3 linked regions of the Pelodiscus sinensis genome follow. The protein of the gene in region 2 purifies or fractionates together with the protein of the main gene of each other region. This does not show direct contact. Links are inferred from orthologs where the notes say so. Each region holds a gene or a part of one and is shown on either strand. Other genes may lie near its edges. The genes, in order: ITSN2, EPS15L1 and AP2S1.

What was found.
Region 1: the proteins of EPS15L1 (region 2) and ITSN2 purify together in Homo sapiens (affinity purification with mass spectrometry; 5 studies listed by BioGRID and IntAct, with this or other methods). This does not show direct contact. The link is inferred for Pelodiscus sinensis from reciprocal best matches to the Homo sapiens genes EPS15L1 and ITSN2.
Region 3: the proteins of EPS15L1 (region 2) and AP2S1 purify together in Homo sapiens (affinity purification with mass spectrometry; 4 studies listed by BioGRID and IntAct, counting the BioPlex papers as one, with this or other methods). This does not show direct contact. The link is inferred for Pelodiscus sinensis from reciprocal best matches to the Homo sapiens genes EPS15L1 and AP2S1.

The regions. Positions count from the first base shown.
Region 1 is NC_134713.1:14,268,474-14,276,041, forward strand, and holds the start of ITSN2 (intersectin-2), read left to right. Parts: upstream 1-4,518; 5' UTR 4,519-4,817; exon of another isoform or gene 4,818-4,877; intron 4,878-7,299; exon of another isoform or gene 7,300-7,320; intron 7,321-7,568.
Region 2 is NC_134729.1:31,113,645-31,121,087, reverse strand, and holds the start of EPS15L1 (epidermal growth factor receptor substrate 15-like 1), read right to left. Parts: upstream 3,055-7,443; 5' UTR 3,003-3,054; coding exon 2,973-3,002; intron 1-2,972.
Region 3 is NW_027465849.1:5,625,591-5,632,864, forward strand, and holds the start of AP2S1 (AP-2 complex subunit sigma), read left to right. Parts: upstream 1-4,174; 5' UTR 4,175-4,288; coding exon 4,289-4,291; intron 4,292-7,274. UniProt on the Homo sapiens protein: Component of the adaptor protein complex 2 (AP-2). Adaptor protein complexes function in protein transport via transport vesicles in different membrane traffic pathways.

The sequences.
Region 1 (7,568 bases), on a different chromosome or scaffold from region 2:
ATATACACCAGACAGTAAGGGCACAAGAATGGCTCGGGCCAGCCATGGTCACTAGGTGGGCGCACATTAATGCCCCGGCTGGTGCCATGGCGCCCGCAGGCACCGCGTTGGGGACCACTGCCCTATGCTATAAGGTTCCTACTCAGGCTCTGAATCCAGGGGGGAACTAATAAATTCCTGGGATTCCTCTCCTTTCATCCCATCATACCACTAGCTTTTGTAAGACAGCTCCATTGTCAAACAATGGCTGTCAGGGAACATAGAAAAAATATATTGTGTGAAACACATGGAATTCTGGTAACTGCTGTTCAGATAGCCAAAAATATTTTGGCCTTGGAAAGGGTTCAGAAAAGGGCCACTAAAATGATTAGGGGTTTCAAATGGGTCACATATGAGGAGAGGTTAAAACGACTGAGACTTTTCAGTTTAGAAAAGAGGAGACTGAGGGGGGATATGATAGAGGTCTATAAAATCATGAGAGGTGTGGAGAGGGCCGATAAAGAAAAGTTATTTATTAGTTCCCTAAATAGAAGAACTAGAGGACATCAAATGAAATTAATGGGTAGCAGGTTTAAAACTAATAAAAAGGAAGTTCTTCACACAGCGTGTAGTTAACCTGTAGAACTCCTTGCCAGAGGAGGCTGTGAAGGCTAGGACTATAGTAGAGTTTAAAGAGAAGCTAGATAATTTCATGGAGGTTAGGTCCATAAAAGGCTATTAGCCAGGGGATAAAATGGTTTCCTTGGCATCTGTTTGTCAGAGGCTGGAGAGAGATGGCAGGAGACAAATTGCTTGATCATTGTCTTTGGTCCACCCTCTCTGGGGCACCTGGTGCTGGCCACTGTCAGCAGACAGGATACTGGGCTAGAAGGACCTTTGGTCTGACCCAGTACGGCCGTTCTTATGGGACTGGGCCATCTCCTCTCCCCAAAGGTGGTTCTTATTTCACCCTGGATTGATTCAATAATGAGTTATTTCAGAGAGTATTATGAAGACAACAATTCTGATGAGGAATTTCATAAGATCTTCTCAGTAACAGTAATCACACTTCTTTAAAGTTCAGTCATGAAATATGTAGCCACCAACTTTCAGTGCAATTGAAATAAAAATGTAGCCCTAAAATATATTATGGTTTTGTTCAAACTATTTTGCACACCTTTATACATCAGATTTATACTTAATTGTCAGCATGTAGCTGCGAACAGTCATTCTCAATCAGTAGTACATCAGCTCTGCATGCCTCCAAGGGTACATGTACTACTGACTGTTGTAAAACTAGGCAAATATCTCTAGATATCTCTTTAACAGCTGGATATTTGCCTAGTTTTACAACAGGCTACAAAAAGCACTAGCAAAGTCAGTAGAAACTAAAATTTCATACCTATAATGACGTGTTTATACAGCTCTCTATATACTATGTACTGAAATGTACACATAATATTTATATTCCAGTTGGTTTATTTTATTAATTTATTTTATTAATTATATGGAAAGTCATTAACAGTGTACTAACACTTTTGCATTTTTATGCCTAATTTTGTAAGCAAGTAAGGGAGGTGAAACTTGAAGTATGCAAAACAAAACAGACTCCTGAAAGTCTGGGAAGGTTGAGAGCCATTAGTCTAAAATGTTGTGAGGGGTGTACCTAAAGTAGTGCAGTACAGGAATAAGTAAGACCCACCAGGATTGGGCTGTAGTCTTCAGGAATTAATCTTTATTTACATATTAAGATTTATGATGTGTGAGAGATCTCCAGGAATACATCCAACCCAAACTGGCAACCCTAGAAGGCTACTATGTTAGATTCATGGGGGGATGGATAGGCAAAATTCTCTAGTTACTATAAACATAACTGTAACAACAGGTCAAGACTCACTACCATGGCACCTCCTGCAGATCACACTGGGAATTAGTTCTGTCCTCAGCAGGGCACTCCATTCTGGCCAGTGTCTCTCTCCATGCTCTCCCTGCGCTCTGCTTTGGACCCACTTCACTCCCAGGACCATAGGACACTGCCCACCACACTGGTTTCTCAACCCCTTTTTCCCCTAGGTATTATCAGCAGTCCTTAGTCTCACATCTGCCATCATGGCCAACTACAGTCTCACTTTAGTCCCTCAGCTCAGGGGCAAGCCACAGTCCATAAAGGTCACTTCTCGGTGTGACTAGGTGCAGTGTAAGGACCCCAGGCCCACCCACTACTCTAGGTCCCAGATCAGGGACCCTCTGGCAGCAGTCTTGTCCTGCTCTCCTCTCTCCCACTCTACTGCCTTCTGTTCCCTGGGCTACTTCCCCTATGACCCTTGCACCTTCCTGGCCCCTGTATCAAGGCCTGCAGCCTGGCAGATATCAGTCTGGAGCTTTTCTCCTGCTCCCCTAAGCCTGCCTACCACTACTTCCTCTATCTAAGATGTATCCTACGGAACAAGTGCTGCATCCTCCCTAGTCATCTTCCAGCTGCTTACTGTGCTCCTGAGCCCTTATTCCTCAAAAAATGAGGTATACAGACTCTTGAACTAAAGGTTGTTTTTTTTTCCAACAAATGGCCCCGTCTACACAGGGCTTTTTATCACAAAAACCTTTTCCCCAAAAAGGACTGGAAGATATGCAAATGAGAGCGTGATATAGGCAAATAAGTGCTCAATTTGCATTTCCTCTTCCACAAAAATCCTGCAGTGTAAACATAACCTGAGTCTCAGGCATTGGTTCTATATTCAGGGGCATTTTTTGCCTTTATGCCTTGGCTCTGCACCTTAGGGCCTTGTTAGTCACTATGCTGTGGCACCCCACCCAGAGGCACCGTGAGCCTGTATAACCTATGATACTTTATGGGGAGTACCCAGTTACTGCCTCCCCTTAGCATGTTTATGCCTCCTGGAGTCGCTCCCCAACTTCACTGGTCTAGGTACATCCCATTGTCTCTTTACAAGTTAACAACAGATACACTCTAACTCCCTTTCCTCCTCTCCGCCCCGCCCTCCTCCCCATCTTTACGGAGTATTCAGACCCTACTCAACTGGATACTCACAGTATTCACTACTCCCACAGGAGCGGTACAGTTTATCAGTGTATCAGATATACCTTAGATCACAGTTTCATGTAGCACACTGTGATTATATAAGTTGATAGTTTAAAAAAAAAGTTTATTTAACAAAGCATAGAGATTTTAATGAGAGAAAGGAGACATATTGGAAGTAGATGGCTTCATATAAAATAAAATCATAATACACATTCCAGAACATAAACTTATTTATCTAGACGCTTTAAGCTGTTTTACAACAATATTCATCCGAATTCCTCCTAGCATTATAAAGCCAGGCTTGACTGTGATTTTTCCTTTAGGAGACAAGTCATGCTATTGGCTTGCCTCTTTGGTGGAAGATATTATGTATCTCCCCGTATTACCTAATATACCATCCTGATGTTTTGGTTTTAGTCATGAACAGGGCACACCCCTGTGGATTTATTTCCTTATAGATATTCTCTCTTGTAGATTTTGCAATCTTACATCAGGTATCTGGCTTGCTGTGCAAACAGACATCCTTTGCAAGATATACAGTGCACAATACACACGTGACCAGAGACGACAGCCCTCTGCTACTTGGCTGTCTGAAAGAAATATGTCCCAGGTATATCCCTAGTGACATGTCTTACTTAACTCCTTTAAGAACATATTTTTCAGTTTAGATATATAATTCCTGAAATATTACCTTTACATGCAACAGTGACTGTTGGTAGGGATCTCCCATGTCACCATTTGGTGAATTATTAAGGCTACAATTTAGTCACAGTATTCAAAGATTCTGTGACTTTACTGGACCTCCCTGACTTCTGCTCCAGCTGTCAGCAAATGAAGTCAGGCCTAGAGGTGGGGACTGTATGCCCCTACCCTGTTGCAATTAGATGGATGGCTGGAACCAGGATCCTGGAGCCCCTGCCCTGTAGTTTGCTGGGGACTGCAGCCAAACTGGGCTCTCCTCTCCCGCAGCTGCTGCCAGCTCTGGAGTGGGAGCTGTGCAACCCCTGTGGCTGTGCTCCCTCTACCCCTGCTGTGACCCAACCCATGTCTTTTGTTGGGGACTGCATTGTGGGCCGCATGTCCCCCTCGTGCGTCCCATGGCTGTACCCCACCCTTGGCTGCAGCTGTGCCCATGCATCCTTGTCCTGCAGCTGTGCCCAGCTCCAGAGCAGAGGTAGAGCACCCTCTATGGTTGCAACGCACCACAACCTACAGCTTTTTTTGGGAGGCTGCGCTATAGCCTGGGCCGTACAACCCATTCCTGAGGGCTGATGTGACAAAATCTTAGCCTTAATTATGATGCATATTTCCTACCTGAGAGATCCTCGTGAAACTCTACGCCCCCGTCCTGTGCCGTCTGCCAACTGGCACCAAGTTCCTGGGGTACGTACCTTGGCTTGGCACCCAGGGCCCTGTAAGCCCATATCTCAGGCCTTGGTCCCACACCTGCCCATATCTTGAGCCTGGGACATACACCCTGGGGTGCTGTTAGGCCCTTCTATGCCTTGGTCCCACACCCAGCTGCTGTCGGCCTGAATCAGGGCTGGCCCCGAGCCCAGAGGGGCTGCTCTCACTTAGTCCCTGGGCCCCCTCTGGGCTCATCCCTAGGGCCCCGGTCGCACACCCAGGAGCCCCGCTGCTGGCCCGTGTCCGCGGGCAGCTCCTGCTCCCTCCCCCTCCTGCCGCAGCTCGCCTTCTTCCTGCGGGCCAGGCCCCCGCCTCCGCCGCCATGTTGTCGGGCTGAAGCCGCCGCAGGAGGCAGAGGGAGCGAGCGAGCGAGCGCCGAGCAGAGCAACAGGTACCGCGCTGCCCGGCTGCGGCCTGAGCCGTAAGGGGCCGAGGGAGCAGAGCCGGCTGGGTGAGCGGCCTCGGCCCCCGCGGGGGGACGGCGGGGTCTGTGCGGAGGGTGGGAATGGGGCGCTCTTGCTGGGGGGCCGAGGAAGCAAGGTCCGGGGGCACCGGGTCGTGAGTGTGTTGGGGGTCTGGGGAGAGAGGATTTGGGGGGGCTTGCAGGGAGAGAGGATTTGGGGGGGTTCGTTCGGGGGCCACGAAGAGGGAGCCGATAGGGGTTGCTGTGGGTTGGGTTAGGCGGCCCAGTGTGGGAGCAGGTAGGAGAGGTAACATGTCCTTGTTTGGGGGGGGACCCAGGGAGGGAGCAGGTAGGAGAGGTAACATGTCCTTGTTTGGGGGGGGACCCAGGGAGGGAGCAGGTAGGAGAGGTAACATGTCCTTGTTTGGGGGGGGAACCCAGGGAGGGAGCAGGTAGGAGAGGTAACATGTCCTTGTTTGGGGGGGGGACCCAGGGAGGGAACAGGTAGGAGAGGTAACATGTCCTTGTTTGGGGGGGGGGACCCAGGGAGGGAACAGGTAGGAGAGGTAACATGTCCTTGTTTGGGGGGGGGACCCAGGGAGGGAGCAGGTAGGAGAGGTAACATGTCCTTGTTTGGGGGGGGGGACCCAGGGAGGGAGCAGGTAGGAGAGGTAACATGTCCTTGTTTGGGGGGGGGGACCCAGGGAGGGAACAGGTAGGAGAGGTAACATGTCCTTGTTTGGGGGGGGGGGACCCAGGGAGGGAGCAGGTAGGAGAGGTAACATGTCCTTGTTTGGGGGGGGGGACCCAGGGAGGGAACAGGTAGGAGAGGTAACATGTCCTTGTTTGGGGGGGGGGGACCCAGGGAGGGAGCAGGTGGGGCGCCCTTGCTTGGGAGGAACCCAGGAAGGGAGCAGGCGGAGGGGGCGTTGGTTGGGGGGAGCGCTGCTAGGGGGTGCCCTTGATTGGGGGGGAGTGCAGGAAGGGAGCAGGGAAAAGATGAGATATGTCCTTGGGGAGGGAGAGGGAGTCTAAGGGGAAAACATAGGGGGTGCCTCTGATGGCGGGGTGGGGGAGCTCTCAGGGAAGGAGCAGGTAAGGGTGTGCCCTTGATTGAGAGAGTCCTGGGGAGGAACTCTAGGGAGCAGTTTGGGGGCTTTTGTGAGCAGTAACCTGAGGGGAATGGCCTGGGGAACACATGACTGGGATTTGAAGTGTTTAGTGAGGTAATGTTTGTGGCTGCTTGTGAGTGATTTAAAGGGCAGAATGTGACCGTATGAGACCATGATGCAGCCCATCAGTTCCACCTCTAGTCTGTTTCATTTGTCAACTTGGAAACCTTACCTGAGAGATTTTTCCCCCTCTTCTTTGAAGTTTTCTCTGGGGAATGGGGTTGGGATTTAGTCTTCTCCAGTGTAAGCACCTCTTGCATAGTATAGCAGGAGAGAGACAATCTTTGATTTTGTTCATTTTATTTAGCTCACATCACAGTGAGCAGCTGGGTACTGCAAAAAAGTTTCAAACCACAGTAACTGAAAATAGAACCTTAACAACAGAATGGGCAGTGGATGGGGAAATGTTTCAGGTTTGTGGTTTTTATTAGGTTGAACAGACATTTCTTTTGCATTAGAAGTTCTTCCTCTCTAAAAATAATGAAGTACTTATCTCTTTTATGAAAAGTAATTTTTTTTAACAATCAAAGCTCTTGTGAAGATCTTGCATTTTACCCCAAGGCTCCTTTTCAATACAGCTGATAAGTGCTGTGTTCAGTTTCTATAGGTTTTACACTTACATTTTAAAGGCTGCCAGAAATGAGTGAGACAAAATACAGGACTATGTAGCACTTTAAAGACTAACAAGATGGTTTATTAGATGATGAGCTTTCGTGGGCCAGACCCACTTCCTGAGGAAGTGGGTCTGGCCCACGAAAGCTCATCATCTAATAAACCATCTTGTTAGTCTTTAAAGTGCTACATAGTCCTGTATTTTGTTTCAGCTACACCAGACTAACACGGCTACATCTCTGTCACTATCAGAAATGAGTGAGGATTGTTTACAAATTTCCCCCACACATGTTCTCTCTGATTTGGAAGATGGAGGAGTAAATTACTGATGCTAGAACACTTTGATGTGTTTCTATGGGAACTAATTTTCTTCTCCTAAGAGTTGGTTTCATTGTTTCAGTAGTAAAGTGTGGATGGCAAATTTTATAATCTGTGTATATGTGTTATAATCTGTTGAGAAATAAAGATGGTAGCACTGATTAATAGGTTCAGAATTAAGTAAGAATCAAAATACAGAATATCTGTGCCTTGAGAGTTTACAGTCTGTAAGAAGATAAAACATTGGTAATGGATGAATAGATGAATTGTACTGGGAACCTCAGAGAATGGAATAATGAAGATTATTATAATTATTGGCTTACTTCTTAGGCTCCTGTGAAAACCTATAATTAGAAGAAATTAAGAACTGATGAAAACTAAATTCCATGGTTAGTGCCTTAGTAAATGATGTCCTTTTTTCTGTCTGTTTATGACATTGTCATTTTTTCTCAGGAAATTAAATGTTGCTACCATCTAGGGAATCTGGTTGTGCTTTTTAAGCATTAATATAATGTGAATAATAAATTTAAAATATATGATTTGCAGATAGTGTCACACCACTCACAGGTAGCAAAATTTGAAAGTAGATTTTACTTTTAATAATACTTAACACTTCATCTAAAAAGTGCTTTTACAA
Region 2 (7,443 bases):
ATGAATTGAAGTTCTGCTGTTTCTCTATTCACAGCTTTGGTTGGCCGGAAATCACCATTTGCAGGCAACACGAATGCGGGGAAGTGGTGTCCCAGTCTGTGGCGCTTCCTGCCACTCACATTGGCTGCGAATGGCGATTCACGGCCAACCAGAGCTGCGTCCTCCAATACCTGCTGAGGCACAGGTAAACATAGTGGCAGTGGCCTGCAAGGACTAACCCTGTTGGCTGCGTTTTTTTGTATTGCCCACCTTGGGCTAGAATGAGCTGGAGTACTACATCCAGTTCTAGGAACCACACCTTAGAAGAGAGGTGGACAAAGTAACAAGTCCAGAGGAGAAAGCAACAACAGTTACAAAAGGCTGAGCCAACCAGACCCTATGAGGAAAGATTAAAAATAAAACTTGGCATGGTTAGTCTAGAAAAAAACTAGTAGTCCTGTAGCACTTTAGAAACTAATATATAGTATCATGAGCTTTAGTGGGCAAAACCCACTTCTTCAGATGAGCTAGACAAACTAGAAAAACAGTCTGAGGTAAAGAGGATGAAATTCAATAAGGACAAATACAAAGTATTCCACTTAGGAAGGAACAATCAGTTGCCTACATTTACATAAACAGTAAATGACTGCCTAGGAAGCAGTACTGTGGAAAGAGATCTGGGGATCATGGTGGACCACAAGCTAAATATGAGTGAACAGTGTGACACTGTTGCAAAAAAAAAAAAAAAAAAAAAAAAAAAAAGGTAAACATAAGTCTAGGATGTGCAGGAGTGTTGTAAGCAAGAGATGAGACGTAATTCTGCTCTACTCCTTGCTGATAAGGCCTCAACTCAAGTATCGTGACCAGTTCCGAGTACCACATTTCAAGAAAAACGTGGACAAACTGGAGAAGGTCCGGAGAAGAGCAATAAAAATGATTAAAAGTCTAGAAAACATGACCTATGAGGGAAGACTGAAAGAACTGGGTTTGTTTAGTCTGTAAAAGAGAGGAGGACTGAGAAAGGATGTGCTAAAAGCTTTCAAGTACCTAAAAGATTGTTACAAGGAAGAGGGAGAAAAAAAATATATTATCTTAATCCTCTGAAAGGAGGACAAGAAGCAATGGGTTTAAATTGTAGCAAGGACAGTTACACACTGGAATAAACTGCCTAGGAAGGTTGTGGAATCTTCATCATTGGTGATTTCTAAGAACAGGTTAGACAAATGTCAGACAGGTGGTCTAGACAGTGGTTGGTCCTGCAGGGGACTGGACTTGACTTCTCAAGTTTCCTTCCAGTTATTATTCCATAAGTTCTAATATAGCCTTCCGTGGGAGTTTGTGGAATCCTATCATTGGAAGTTTAAAAAAAAAAAAAAGATTGGACAAACACTCATAAGGGATTGCCCACCCCTGGGCTAGAATGAGCTGGAGTACTACATAGCCCTGCTACAGCACAGGGGGCTGGACTTGATGACTTCTAGAGGTCCTTCCCACTCTACTTTTCTGTAGTGTATTTGCATCTACCCCTTCTACCAAAAGGCCTTAACCCCTCCAGGAGAATGAAGCCATTGCCCCCCCAAACAAACAAATACACACACACCACACACCACACACACCCCCCCCCCCCCAGGGCCTGGCAATACTGCTAGCCCTCCTATGTCTGGGGCTTTTATTTTGTTTGTTTCTTCTGATGCCTGATTGTGGACTTCTAGATTCAGATAAGGTTTTTGGATGACTGGTCAGTTCATAATTCTTGAGGATCTACTGTACTTACAACCCCCACTCTTCCACCAAAACCACATCCAGGCACTTTCTAAGATTGAAAATAAACTTCACTCCCTGCTAAGGTTGTTAAATTGTGGCTAGCTGTCTAATCGTGCAGTCAACACAAATTGATATGGACCGCTCTGCAAAGCCGCAGCAGATAGCTCCAGAAGCTTGTGCCAGTTCTGAGACCCACTCACACAACAGCTCTGCATTTTAAATGCTATAAGAGCCGCCGGATGCTTACTACATTTAAAATGCAAAGGTGCAGCGTCCTGAACCAGCATGAGCAGGTATGCTCAGTCCCAGTTCGCAGAGTCCAGCAGCCCCTGTTCGCGGCGGACAGCCCTGTCTGCCAGGAACAGGAGCCACTGCTGGAGTAGCTTCTGTTCACCGTGGCCATGGGCAGGGGCTGCTCCTGTGACCAGCCAGCCTGGAGCCACCGAGAACAGGGACTGCTTGGCTCCCAGCTGAGACAACTGGGGACAGTGGCTGTTTTGCTGCAGCCTCCCTTATCTCTCCACACTGCCTCTAGCAGAGGTGGGGGAAGGGGAGGATGGCACCTCAGAATGGGCTGGAGTACTACATGGCCCTGCCACAGCACAGGGGCTGGACTTGATGACTTCTAGAGGCCCTTCCCACTACGTGTCTGTAGTGTATTTGCATCTACCCCTTCTGCCAAGAGGCCCCAGCCCCTCCCGCAGCATGAAGCCGTTGTGCTCGTTAGGTGGTGGACTGGTCCCTGCCCATTAGGCAGCATGAGATGGGGAGACCCCGGCCTGGAGAAATGAACCAGCTGAAGTGACGGTTAGACAAGGAGCCTAGAGCCCCCCTGAGCACTCAGTCCGGGTCTCCCGAGGCCCGGCCCAGGGCCTCCCGCGACCACAGCGCCCTGCGCGCCAGTGGCTCAACGTCGGGCCCTGCAGCCTGCCTGCCTCGAGGGACATTACAGCGCTTCGTGCCAGCCAGGAAGCCAGCGTCCGAGCCGCCCCCGCGGGGCTCAGCCCCCAACCCCCGCGGGCGGCGCAGGCCGGCTCCCACCCCACAGCCTCAACCCTGGCCCGGCTGCGGCGGGGAGGGCGCTGAGGGCCTGCCCCCTCCGAGCTGACCCGCCCGCGCCGGATGGGGCCCAGCTCCCCCCCGCCACAAGGGGATGGGCCCGGAGCCCCGTCCCCTGGCGCGCTCCAGCTGCCGGCTGCACTGGGAGGCCGCCGGGCCGGGCCGGTTACCTGCTGGCTGTGGGGAATGAGCGCCGCCATCTTGCTCCCACCGAGTGACTCCGGCAGGGCGGGCACCGGGGGCGGAGCGATCGCCGCCGACGGGCGCGAGGAGGCGCCAGACGCGGCGGGGCACGCTCAGGGCTCGGCGCAGCCCGGTCCGGATGCCGAGGCCGCAGAGCGCGGCTCGCTCCCCGCGCCCCGCCCTTGAGGCGACAGGCAGGCGCCCGATTTCCCGGCTCCGGGCGCGCTCACCTACCGCCGAGTCCCACGCGTGTCCAGCGCGACACTGACACGCAGGCTCCGCGAGGCGGTTGGGCGCGGGGTGAGTCGGCCACGTCCACGTTTCATCCCACTGGGCACGTGGAGGGGGGTTAGTCACTGTTCAGTGGAGGTGACCTGAGGAGGGAGCTGTAATTCCAGAGTTCTGGTGCAGGAGGGATTCTTGGCAGCCCCCCCCCCCCCCCCACATCTTGAACCTTTTAAAAAGGAACAGCTTTAAAAAACTATGAGCCTGGCTCAGCCCTACGGGACCCCCCACTACAGAAGGGACGTGGACGCACTGGAGAGGGTCCAGCGGAGGCAGCCAAAATGATTAGGGGGCTGGAGCACATGACCTGTGAGGAGAGGCTGAGGGAGTTGGGTCTGTTTAGTCTGCAGAAGCGAAGAGTGAGGGGGGATTTGAGAGCAGCCTTCAACTTCCTGAAGGGGGGTTCCAAAGAGGATGGAGAGAGGCTGTTCTCAGTGGTGACAGATGCAGAACGAGGAGCAATGGTCTCAAGTTGTGGTGGGAGAGGTCCAGGTTGGATATTAGGAAAAACTATTTCACTAGGAGGGTGGGGAAACACTGGGATGGGTTCCCTAGGGAAGTAGTGGAGTCTCCATCCCTAGATGTGTTTAAGTCTCGGCTTGACAAAGCCCTGGCCGGGTTGATTTAGTTGGAATTGGTCCTGCCTAGAGCAGGGAGAGGACTTGACGACCTTCTGAGGTCTCTTCCAGTTCTATGATTCTACCACCACTCAGGAGCCACCTGAGGTAATCAGGGCCCAGTCAGAGCCCATGTCCTAAGCAGGCTCAGTGCCCTGGCTTACCACTCCCAAAAGCAGCCAGCAAACTCCATCCCAAGTCCTGTTATGCCCCCTGCCCTGCTCTGTGGATATAGGATACAGGGTGGGAGAGTGCTTGACATCAGTGCTCCTCTTCTTCCTCCCCTGCCCTGAACAGCAGGAGGCTCCCAGGGCTGGGGAGAGGCAGCTCCAAGGCAAAGAGCAGGAGTTGCGCAGCAGCAGGAGGGAGATGCAGCTGAAGTGCTGGTACTCAATAGCCTCTTAGCCAAACCAGTCAGGATCGCCTGTCAGAGGCTCCAAGATCTACCAGTAGAACCCGATCCACTGGTTGGTGACCACTGCATTAGAGGATGTGCAGTTGTATGAGCCTCTGATGTTGTATGTGCATGATATGTATGATGACCATATTTTCTGAACCAAAAATGGGGACTTGTTAGCCACACACCCTGGCCTCATTAGCCATGCCCCCTGATTCCTTATGCCCCACCTACCTGCCACATGAAGTCCCACTCCTGTAGGTAGTACTTCCAGGGTCAAAATGGACACATGACCAGAAGTAAAGGGTGTCATGTGACTCCTCTAAGAATTCCTCCCATTGTCCTCTACCAATAGGGATGGTTTTGGACCCCATAGGTAGGGTTGCCAGATGGCTGAAACAAAAATACTGACCCCCCCCTAAAGGGGGGGGGAATTTTGTTGAAGGAAAAAAAGGGGGGGGGGGACCATCAAAGTTGTTGAGTCAAAAAAAAAAAAAAAAAAAAAAAAGACTGCACAAACCTGGATCACTGCTAGGGGTTACCAGGTAGTCATTAAAAAAAAAAACAACAACCCACAGTAACACTTAATGGGGCAGGGGGGAGAAAGACCGGCCAGGAAGGGTGCGGTGCTGGCCGGGAAGGAGGGGGCCTGGAAACAGCTAGCGGGGGGGGGGGGGGGGAGGGCGCAACAGAGCTGGCCGGGGGAGATGGGGAGGGCCAATGGGAAGCAGGACTGGTTGTCGGGGTGTTGTCAGGCAGAAAGGGGCTGGCTGTGGGATATCGGGGGGAGGGAGCACCGGCCGGGATGGGGTGGTGCTGGCCGGGAGTAAGGGGGGGCAGGAAGCAGAGCTGGCAAGGCGGGAGCAGCGGTGCTGGCCAGGGAGATCAGGAAGAGGAATGGGCCAGCAGGAAGCAGAGCTGGTGGGGGGGAGGGGAGTCGTGGGCTGCGGTGCTGGCCGGGAGAAAGGGGGAGTGGAAGGGAGAGCTGTCTGGCGTGCAGCCAGAAAAATCAGAAAATGCCGGACATTGCACATGTCCAGTATTTTCTGATTTTTTTTTACTGGGCAGAGCGCGCAAATACTGGACTGTCTGGTACAATACCGGACACCTGGCAACCCTACCCATAGGACCCAGGCTACTAAATGCAATGCAAGTTGGATTAATGCAATTGCAGTAAACTGGGGGCAAAGGTTGGGAGGTGCCTCTATTTCAGTTGTTCTCAAACTTTTTGGCCTGTGAACCATCTGCCTCAGTGTAAACCTTTCTGCAGACCACTAATGGAAATTCATAGTTAATTACATAATTATGCCAGAGCCATTTTGCTAGTGCTGCAGCTAGGGAGAATGGTTTAATTTAAATAATTAAACTGATTAAGCATTTTAACTTTCTCATGTTCGTTTATCAAACTTCCTTTTAGATAAAGTAAAATATTTATGTCCCACCCAAAAAGTTTCAATGTTTTCTTTATTTATGGGAGGGGCAGGGAACCTTTTTTGGGTTGGGGGCCACTGACCCACAGAAAAATCAGTTGGGGACCACACAGATGAGAAACGAAAAAGCTACTCCAAAATCCCCCAGTCCTCACTGATCTGATCCCCAGCTGAGATACATCACTCCTCTGGCGCTCCAGCCTCACAGGGTGAGGGAAAGAAACAGGGAGGTCTGAGGTTCAAGGTAAGGATGTTAAATTGTGGTTATCAAGCTAATCGTATATTCAATACAAATTGTATTGACTGCACAATTAGTCGATAAGCGCCACTGCAGAGCTTCAGCGAGGCTCCAGGAGCCAGCTTGAACCCAGGCCGCTGTGAACAGGGGCTGCTTGGCAACAGCTGCCCCTGTATGTCATGGACCCAGCTCCCTGCTGAGCTCCCCATGGACAGGGGCTGCAGCCCAAGCAGCCTCTGCGGATGGTGAGCCTCGGCCCTCTGGAAGCTGTCTTTCTGTGAGCTGGCTAAGTGCCCCTGGGTCTGTGTTATGTCCAAACAGAGCATCACTGTGCACAAAGACCAATATCAGTGGAATCTTGTTGGGAGAGGGTGCCATAGATTTGCCTGATGTACTTATCAACTTTCTCATGGAGATTCCATGGCATTTCTCCTCCACCTTGGTACGACATTCTCCCAACCACTCCTCATACTGTGCTGCTGGAATCAAGGCAGCACAGAGTTTGGCTACATAAGGAGCAGGGTGTCCAGAGGTGAAAGAAAGTGCCTGAGTGCAGCGCTCTGATAAGAAGCTGGCTGGCCAGCTGAGACACTTGTCTGCAGTGGGAGGGACTCAGCAGCAGGAAACCAGGCAGGTTAGAGGGTTGACTGGGGGTGCTCTTCCCCCCACCTCCAGGACTGCCCCAGCCCTGAGGTTCCTACCTCGCTGCAATTTCAGGGAACATACCAGGTCCCTTTTGCTTTTCCTGCTTCCTCTGACTAGAGAGTATGGGGAAGTGCAGAGCCTGCTGTGTTCCTCTTCTGCCTCTCTCCTGTGCAGCTGGGAGTGAAGGGAATGCAGCAGACTCTGCACTTTCCTTCACTCCCTAATCAGAGGAAGCAGGAAAAGCAACACAACCCAGTATGTGAGGCTGCAGCTCCCCCGCCCCCTGAAATGGCACCCTTGGCCACTTTCACTCACCTCTACACACACTCAGCCCACTGCTCTGAATCCTGCACCCCCATATTTCCCCAGTTCCTGAAGATGCGCATCATGCACCTTTCCAGACCACCCCACATTATGTCTGTGAAAAGCCCATGGTGATCCACAGGCATCTGAAACACCATGAAGAACTACTCCTTATAATTGGCATACTCTAGAGCATGGTGGGGTAGCACTACAATGGGAATGTGTGTGCCATCGATTGTCCCACCATATTTGGAAAGCCCATATTAGCGAAGCCAGCTACTATGTCATCCACATTTCCCAGAGTCACAGTCCTATGCAATTTATTTCTCTGCACACTTGCATAAGCACTGCCCGAATGGTAGAATTCCCCACTCCAAACTGCTTTGTAACTGAACAGTAGCAATTGTGAGTCACCAGCTTCCACATAGCAATGGCAACATGCTTCTCTATGGAGAGAGCAGCTTTCATTTGGGTGTCTTTGTGCCATAGTTCAGGGGCCAGCTCATTACACAGTTCGAGAAAGGTTGCTTTCTGCATCCAGAA
Region 3 (7,274 bases), on a different chromosome or scaffold from region 2:
TCACCTCTCAGCCTGTGCTGGATTCACAAACCAGGCATTCCCCCCTGAACAGCATCACCCAAGTAGCTGTGCCCTAAGAGGAAAACACAGTCTTTATCTCAGTGGGCAGAGCACTCACTGGGGCTGTGGGAAATCCAGGTTCAAATCCCTCCCCCTTCCCAGAAGTTGTCCCACTTTGTATAAATACTTAACTAAGGGCCGGAGAGAGGCTGCCTCTAACCCAGTGCCCGAGGCTGCCTGTGGGGGATGGGAGACCCACATCCCAGTCCCTGTGCTCAGATGGGAGTTATAGGAGCTGGCATTGGAGGGCAGGATGTGCTCTGATCACATGACTGTGGGCTCTGTCGGGCATTCTCACGGGACATGCCTCAAAGAGAGGGGCAAGCGGAACGTAGTGCAGTCCACGTGACTACGGAAGCACTGAATCCATTAGCCCAGGCTCTGCTGAAGCAGGCAGCCTGCAAAGAGGAGGCATTGCTTCTCCTGGCAGCAGTGAGGTAAACTGAGGCTGTGCATGGAGAAGAAGACGCTGCCTGTGCGTGACGGAGCACACTGCTCAATCTAGCCAGGCAAAGTGCTCAGTCTTTGTGACAGCTGGTGTGTTGAGCTAGAGCAGCCGCATTGGCCACCTTTTGGCAGGTACAGACACCTGGGGGCATCAGCCCGACCCAGAAGGGGTTTCCGTGTAAAGGGAACCAAGCGCGACAGGGACAACGAGCAATCAAGATTTGTCGTTCTTACTGTAGGAGAAGATGCCAAGGAAGAGGCAATCCAGGATTTCCAGGGCAAGCTGTGTAAGCCCCCAAATGGGTGCCCGGAGCAGGGTACTACTCTGAACCCACGTTCCCTCTAATTTTTTCCATCCATAAATTTTGTTATGGGCACTGAGACATGTGCGGATGTGCACCACCAGTAGAAACACATGCTGCCAGCTATGGGTGCTCTGCTAATCAGCGGGGCAGCGTCTAAATCTCTCCTGAGTGCTCAGCTTAGTGGGAACGCTGGTGTGAAGCCGAAGCGAACGCAGTGCTCTCTCTCCATCGGCCGTCGGTTGATCTCTGAAGGATGCTGGCCAGATGCTGAGACACTGAGGGGGCATTAAGGGCATGACCAGAACGCAGAATAAGAAAGCAGGCCAGCGAGTTGCAAGGACGGGTTTTTCTGTGGCGCCTGTCAGAAGTTCGGGAGCCCAGGGGACAGTTAACACACAACGCTGAAGTGCGGGGATGATCCCAGACCCAAGAGCAGGTGTTTGAAAGAGTAAAAACAACCCTAAGCAAGGCCCCAGCCCTAACGTGCGATGGGGGGTACAGTAGCCGTGGAAGCTCCCTAAAAGCATGGGGGGCACTGGCCCTGTCCCCGCACTCCCTTTTCCCCAGAGGTCCCACCCCTGAGCTGCCTCTTCCCCCCCCCAAGACCTCCCTCCTGTGTTGCCTCTTTCCTCCGAGCCCCCATGCCACTCATGACCCAAGTCCTTGCCCTTGCATTGTCTCTTCCCCTGTGGCTCCACCCTTGCCCCCCAAAACCCTGCCTCTCACTAGCTCTTCTGGGCCCCGTCGATCACCCTTAGGGCTGGTTAAAAGTGAGAGGGAGATGGAGCTGTGGCCCCTGACTGTTCTGGCATCTCTGCAGGATGGCTCGGGGAAGACCTCACTGCTCACTGATGCAAAGCCGGTCTCCTGTACGGGCTGAGTTCTCACGGACACTGAACAGGGGCATGCTCCGCTAGAAAAGGAGCCGCTGGCTGTGCCCCAGGGTGGCGGGTAACGCAGGCTAGGAAGGCATGGCCTTCCCCAAACTGCCTAGGCTCCAGCCAGCATGGCTGCCTCGCCTGCCGGGAAGGCCAGAGCTGTGCCTTCTGGGCTGTAGTCGGTGCCAAAGGAGAAGCTGAGCACATGGCAGCCCTCAGGCCTCTCAAAGAAACGGGGAGGAAGGGAAGAGCCAGCAATCAAGGCAGCCAAGAGGCTGATGGCAAAGGCAAAGCAGAGGATGGGATCTCTACCAGGCTATGTTGGGGTACTGGAATAGACTCTCCCAGGGACCAGACAGCCACCCACCCAGGGACTGATGGGCCAGAGACCTGAGGCTCTACTTTCTAACAGGAGAGAAAGAGGCACATAAATACAAAAAGGGCGTGTTTAACTCTTTTGTTAAGGGAATACCCAAATACTGTACTAAGAGCATAAATAATATAGACTATTACCAAGTGCTTACTACTTACAATAATAAACTATAGATACCAATACATGAACTTTTGCAAGTTTGTACATGCAACTTTCCCTTACTTCTTGCCGCCAATATCAAATGCATTGCTATTAACAAGAACAAGAGGAATTACGTAACAATATACTGCGTCATTTCAGAAAAAAAATCTATTTTTCCTGTCTGGGCTGTAAGTCCAGCTCCACTCTTGCTGTCCTGCTGTTGGCTATTTTTGGCCTGAAGTACCCTTTTCAGTCAATATTCTTGTGGCTGTACCTTTTTACTGAGTTTATCCACAAACAGGTTTTCTTCACTTAGTGGGCCCTCACTGTGAACACTATTCCTTCAATAGTTGCCCACTAGTCATTCTCTCTGTTCATCCTTTGTAAGGAGGCGTCTCGTTTACTGTTTTCAGGATCTGTTTTCATCTAACACAGCTCTTTGATCAAGTCCCTTTTTCACCAATTATATTTCATTTTCTGCCCTCCCCCCATACTCTTTCTCTAGTACAACTATAGATTTTATTTCCCTCTACTTACCTTCTCTAGCAGAGTCTGCTCATATACCCAGGTTTGGGGGAGGGAGGGGCGATTTCTGCTTCTCTTGACCTGAATCCTTTCCTAGTTTCCTGCTTTCCTCCTTTTCATTTCCCAGTCTTCTACTTTCATGTTCCTGTTCTTTTATCACCTCGCCTCCTACCCAGACTCCAGTTCATCTAGTAACTCAGCATCTAGGTTCTTATAGAATCGTAGGAGTGGAAGGGACCTCCAGAGGTCTTCTAGTCCAGTTTCCCTCCACCTCTAGCAGCTTTTTTTTTCCAATTGGCCCCTTTGGGTGGCTTTCAAAGTCACTCCCCAGCTCCAGCTGCCCTCATTGGCTGTTCTTTCTCCCCAGGCCAGCACTCCCTGCTGCTGCATTACAAGCTAGTCCCAGGGGCAGGGTAACAACACTGCCATCCACTGGGTGCAATGGGGAATGCTCAACTGTGTGCCACAAGGCCCTTATACTACTGATCGCTCATGAAGAGTCTCCTTTTGCTCAGATGGCATAGGCCTGGGATTTTGGAGCAGGAAGTCCAGAGTTCGATCCTCAGTGTGATTACACTATAAAACAGTAGCACTAACGGATACTCCACAAGCCTCCAAAAGACGAAGTCCTTGCTCGAAGGAGCTTGCGTGTCACTTTAATCTGCCCAGGGTCCAGTCCCTGTGAGCCGAAACCACACGTTTAATCTCAGCTCTTTACCGGGTCCCTCCTCCCGTCTCTGCGAGCCTGCCCGTGAATTTATCCCCATTGTACAGGCGACAAATGGAGGCCAGGAGAGACGAGGCGACTTGCCGGGGGCCATGCAGGGAGCCGGGGCAGGGCCTTGATAGCTCACTGGAGCGGACGCTCCCGGTTTGGGGGTGGCCGCAGCCCAGAGCCGGCTGTTGGGGGGGGCTCGCCCCCTTCCCTCCCCCCAGGTTCAGGGTGCGGAAGGAGCAGGCCCGGGGCTGCCAGGGAGGGGGCCAGGCTCAGCCCCCCCCAGCCCGCAGTGGGGGCGAATCGGGCTATTAGCTGCCCCCCCCCCACTGCTGCGGGGGGGGGGGAGGACCAGGTGTGGGGGGGGGGCAGGGCCAACATCCCATCCAGGGGTGCCCCTCCCCCCAGGTTCAGGGACTCAGACCCACATGGGGGCCTGCTGTGGGGGGCGGGGCTGTGGGGCAGGCTCGGGCCTACTAGGCCTCGCCCAGCCGCGGGCTCGGGTCGGCCGCTCTGCCGGCCCCGCGCGCAGGCTGCCCGCTGGCCACGCCAGGCGAGGGCCCGGCTCCAGCCCGCCCCCCGCCCGAGGCACCGCGGAGCCCGGGCGCCCCCTGGCGGGGACGGCGAGCAACGACCCCGCCCCGCCCTGGGCGGGAGACACTACAACGCCCAGCGTGCACCGCTGCGGCCGCGCGGCCTGCCGGGAAGGGCCGCTCCGCCTAGGCAGCCCGGAACTACAGCTCCCAGGAGGCCAGGCGACGGATATCCGGTGGGAGGGGGCAAGGGGGAAGAAGCGGAGGGGGAAGAAGACGGCCTGGGGGGGTCTGGCAGGGACGGAACTATCATGGTAAGGGGGGGGGGAGGGATGTGGGTCTGAGTCCCTGGCCCTGGGGGGAGGGGTGCCACTGGGAGACCCTGGGGGGGAGGGGATGTGGGTCTGTGTCCCTGGCCCTAGGGGGAGGGGTGCCACTGGGAGACCCTGGGGGGGAGGGGATGTGGGTCTGTGTCCCTGGCCCTGGGGGGAGGGGCGCCACTGGGAGACCCTGGGGGGGAGGGGATGTGGGTCTGAGTCCCTGGCCCTGGGGGGAGGGGCGCCACTGGGAGACCCTGGGGGGGAGGGGATGTGGGTCTGAGTCCCTGGCCCTGGGGGGAGGGGTGCCACTGGGAGACCCTGGGGGGGAGGGGATGTGGGTCTGAGTCCCTGGCCCTGGGGGGAGGGCCGCCACTGGGAGACCCTGGGGGGGAGGGGATGTGGGTCTGAGTCCCTGGCCCCAGGGGGAGGGGAACCCCTGGATGGGATGTGGACCATCATCCCTGGGGAAAGGGGAGTGTTGGTGCCCTCCAGGGGATGATTTGGGTCAGGCTCCCCAGTTCTGAGGTCTAAATAAGACTTTGTCCCTGCCAGGCGTGTGGGGCGCTGGGCTGGATGGTTCTATCCCTGAGGGTGGAGAAAGGCTCCTGTAGGGGAGGAATGGGAGTGAGTCTCCCTATCCTGGGAGGGGGCACGCTGTTGGGGTATATCCTCCCCCACTCCCGGGGAAGTAGGGAGCAGCTCCGGTGCCTGAGGAGGGAGACCCTTTGGGGGTATGATATTTGGCAGGCGAAGGGACTGGAGGTAGGCAAAAGAAGAAGGCTGGTACTGGGCCTGTTTTTGCAGAGCTGTAATTCTGACCAAGCTCTTATAACTGTGAGGGCTGTGCACAGGTGTTGTTCAGGCTCTGCGGCTTGTTAGTCTTTAAAGTGCTACATAGTCCTGTATTTTGTTGCGGCTATCTCTGGTGAGGGATGCAGTAGCTGTTTATTCATGTATCCCTCACCTATGACCAGCTGATCACAGAAATTTTCCTCCTCTTTAAGGAGCAAGATTAGGAGGCTCGGAGTCCTAGTCCCAGTCGTCTTTATGAATTCCGGGGGGCCATGCGGTGTAGCTTTGTGGCAAATGGGGACATCTTAGATGCTCTCAGATTTGGGCTGATATTACCATCGAACTAAGACAAACTCCCCTTGAGTGGCCCTGTCTGACCTAGTCTGATGGAACAGGGGATCCATAATAACATGCAGTCACTTCTGTGCCTAGCCGAGTGGTTCCAATTTATTATGGGCTGAGTGAGCCAAAGCTGTTGCCATCATGATCGGATGGTCACAAAAAACCCGCCAGCCTGTATAGGCTCCGCACTGGAGACTGAGAACTGAACTTTGTATGTGTATAATTGAACTGCAAAAGTTAGAGATGGAAAAACACTATTTAATTCAATAAAGACAAATGCAATATACTCCACTTAAGGAACAATCAGTTGCACACATACAAAATGGGAAGTGACTGCCTAGGGAGGAGTATTGCAGAAAGGGATCTAGGGTTCATAGTGTACCACAAGCTAAATATGAGTCAACAATGTGACACTTGCAAAAAAAAAAAAAAAATTCTAGGATGTATTAACAGGAGTGTTGGAAGCAAGATATGAGAAGTAATTCCTCTCTACTCTGTGCTGATTAGGTCTCAGCTGGAGTATTGTGTCCAGTTCAGGAAAGATGTGGCCAAATTGGAGAAGGCCCTGAGAAGATCAATAAAAATGATGAAAGGTTTAGAAAACATGACCTATGAGGGAAGACTGAAAGAATATGTTTAGTTTGGAAAAGAGAAGACTGAGAGGGGATCGCAGTTTTCAAGTACTTAAAAGGTTGTTACAAAGAGAAGGGAGAAACATTATTCTCTTCAACCTCTGATGATAGGACAAGAAGCAATGGGCTTAAATTGCTGGAGGAGAGGTTTATGCTGGACGTTAGGAAAAACTCTCTTAACTGTCACTGGAATAAATTGCCTAGAGAGGTTGTGGAATCTCCATCTTTGTAGATTTTTAAGAGCAGGTTGGACAGGCACTTGTCAGGGATGATCTAAATCCTTCTGCGAGTGCACCTGATTACCTCTTAAGGTTCCTTCCAGTTCTAGTAGTCTATGAGTCTCCACTCCATTTCTCTGCAAATTCAGTTCATCTCCTGACGCCTGGACTGGTTGAAACATCCTAAGCCAGAGATACTTAATAGGCCGCATGCAGATCAAATGTGGCCCATCAGCTCATCTTAAAAACATATTTATAATTAAATTTGAGAACAGCGTTATGCTGCCTATCATTTGCCTGTCATTTCCTTAGTAAGTAACATACTGAATCTGAAATTCTTGTGAGAACATTGACCCTGCCTATTTTTTTCATTACTGATGGAAATGGAGCAAAAAATGATTGCAAATGGGAGCAACCATCATGAAGTCAACAGTGAAAACTGAGCTTTTAACACTAACAGCGGATTTTCTTTTTATTACGCCATCTCGTTGAAATGCAAAGTTTTTGGTTTTAGTATGCCAAGCCAGTACCGCAGTCTAAGGTCATCACTGTGAGGTACCATTTTAAATCCAAGCACAGTAATTTCAACTGAAGTCTTTGCGTCACTCTTCAGATGTCGTTCTCATAACATCAGTGACTGGACAGAAGAAAACAAGAACTGCTTTACTTCAGATAATGATGGTACTAACTAAAAAGAAAAGTGTTTTCCAGGATGCTGAGCTTGTGAAGGAGTCAGTGTTCCCTAAATCTTTTCCATCCACGTGTGAGTTTTTTCCATCCATGTGTGGAATAAATTGTGTGATGTGCACTGGGGCATGTGAAAATGTGCATCACCGATATAAACACAAAACCGAGCTGTGGGCACTCTGCTAATCAGGTGGACAGCACCTGACTTTCTTCTGTGCGGCCGCACAAACACAGTTTTCAGGAGTGCATGCGGGAGGAGCTTTTTGCTGGAGATAAAAACAAAGATGACGTTGCGAACACCACGTG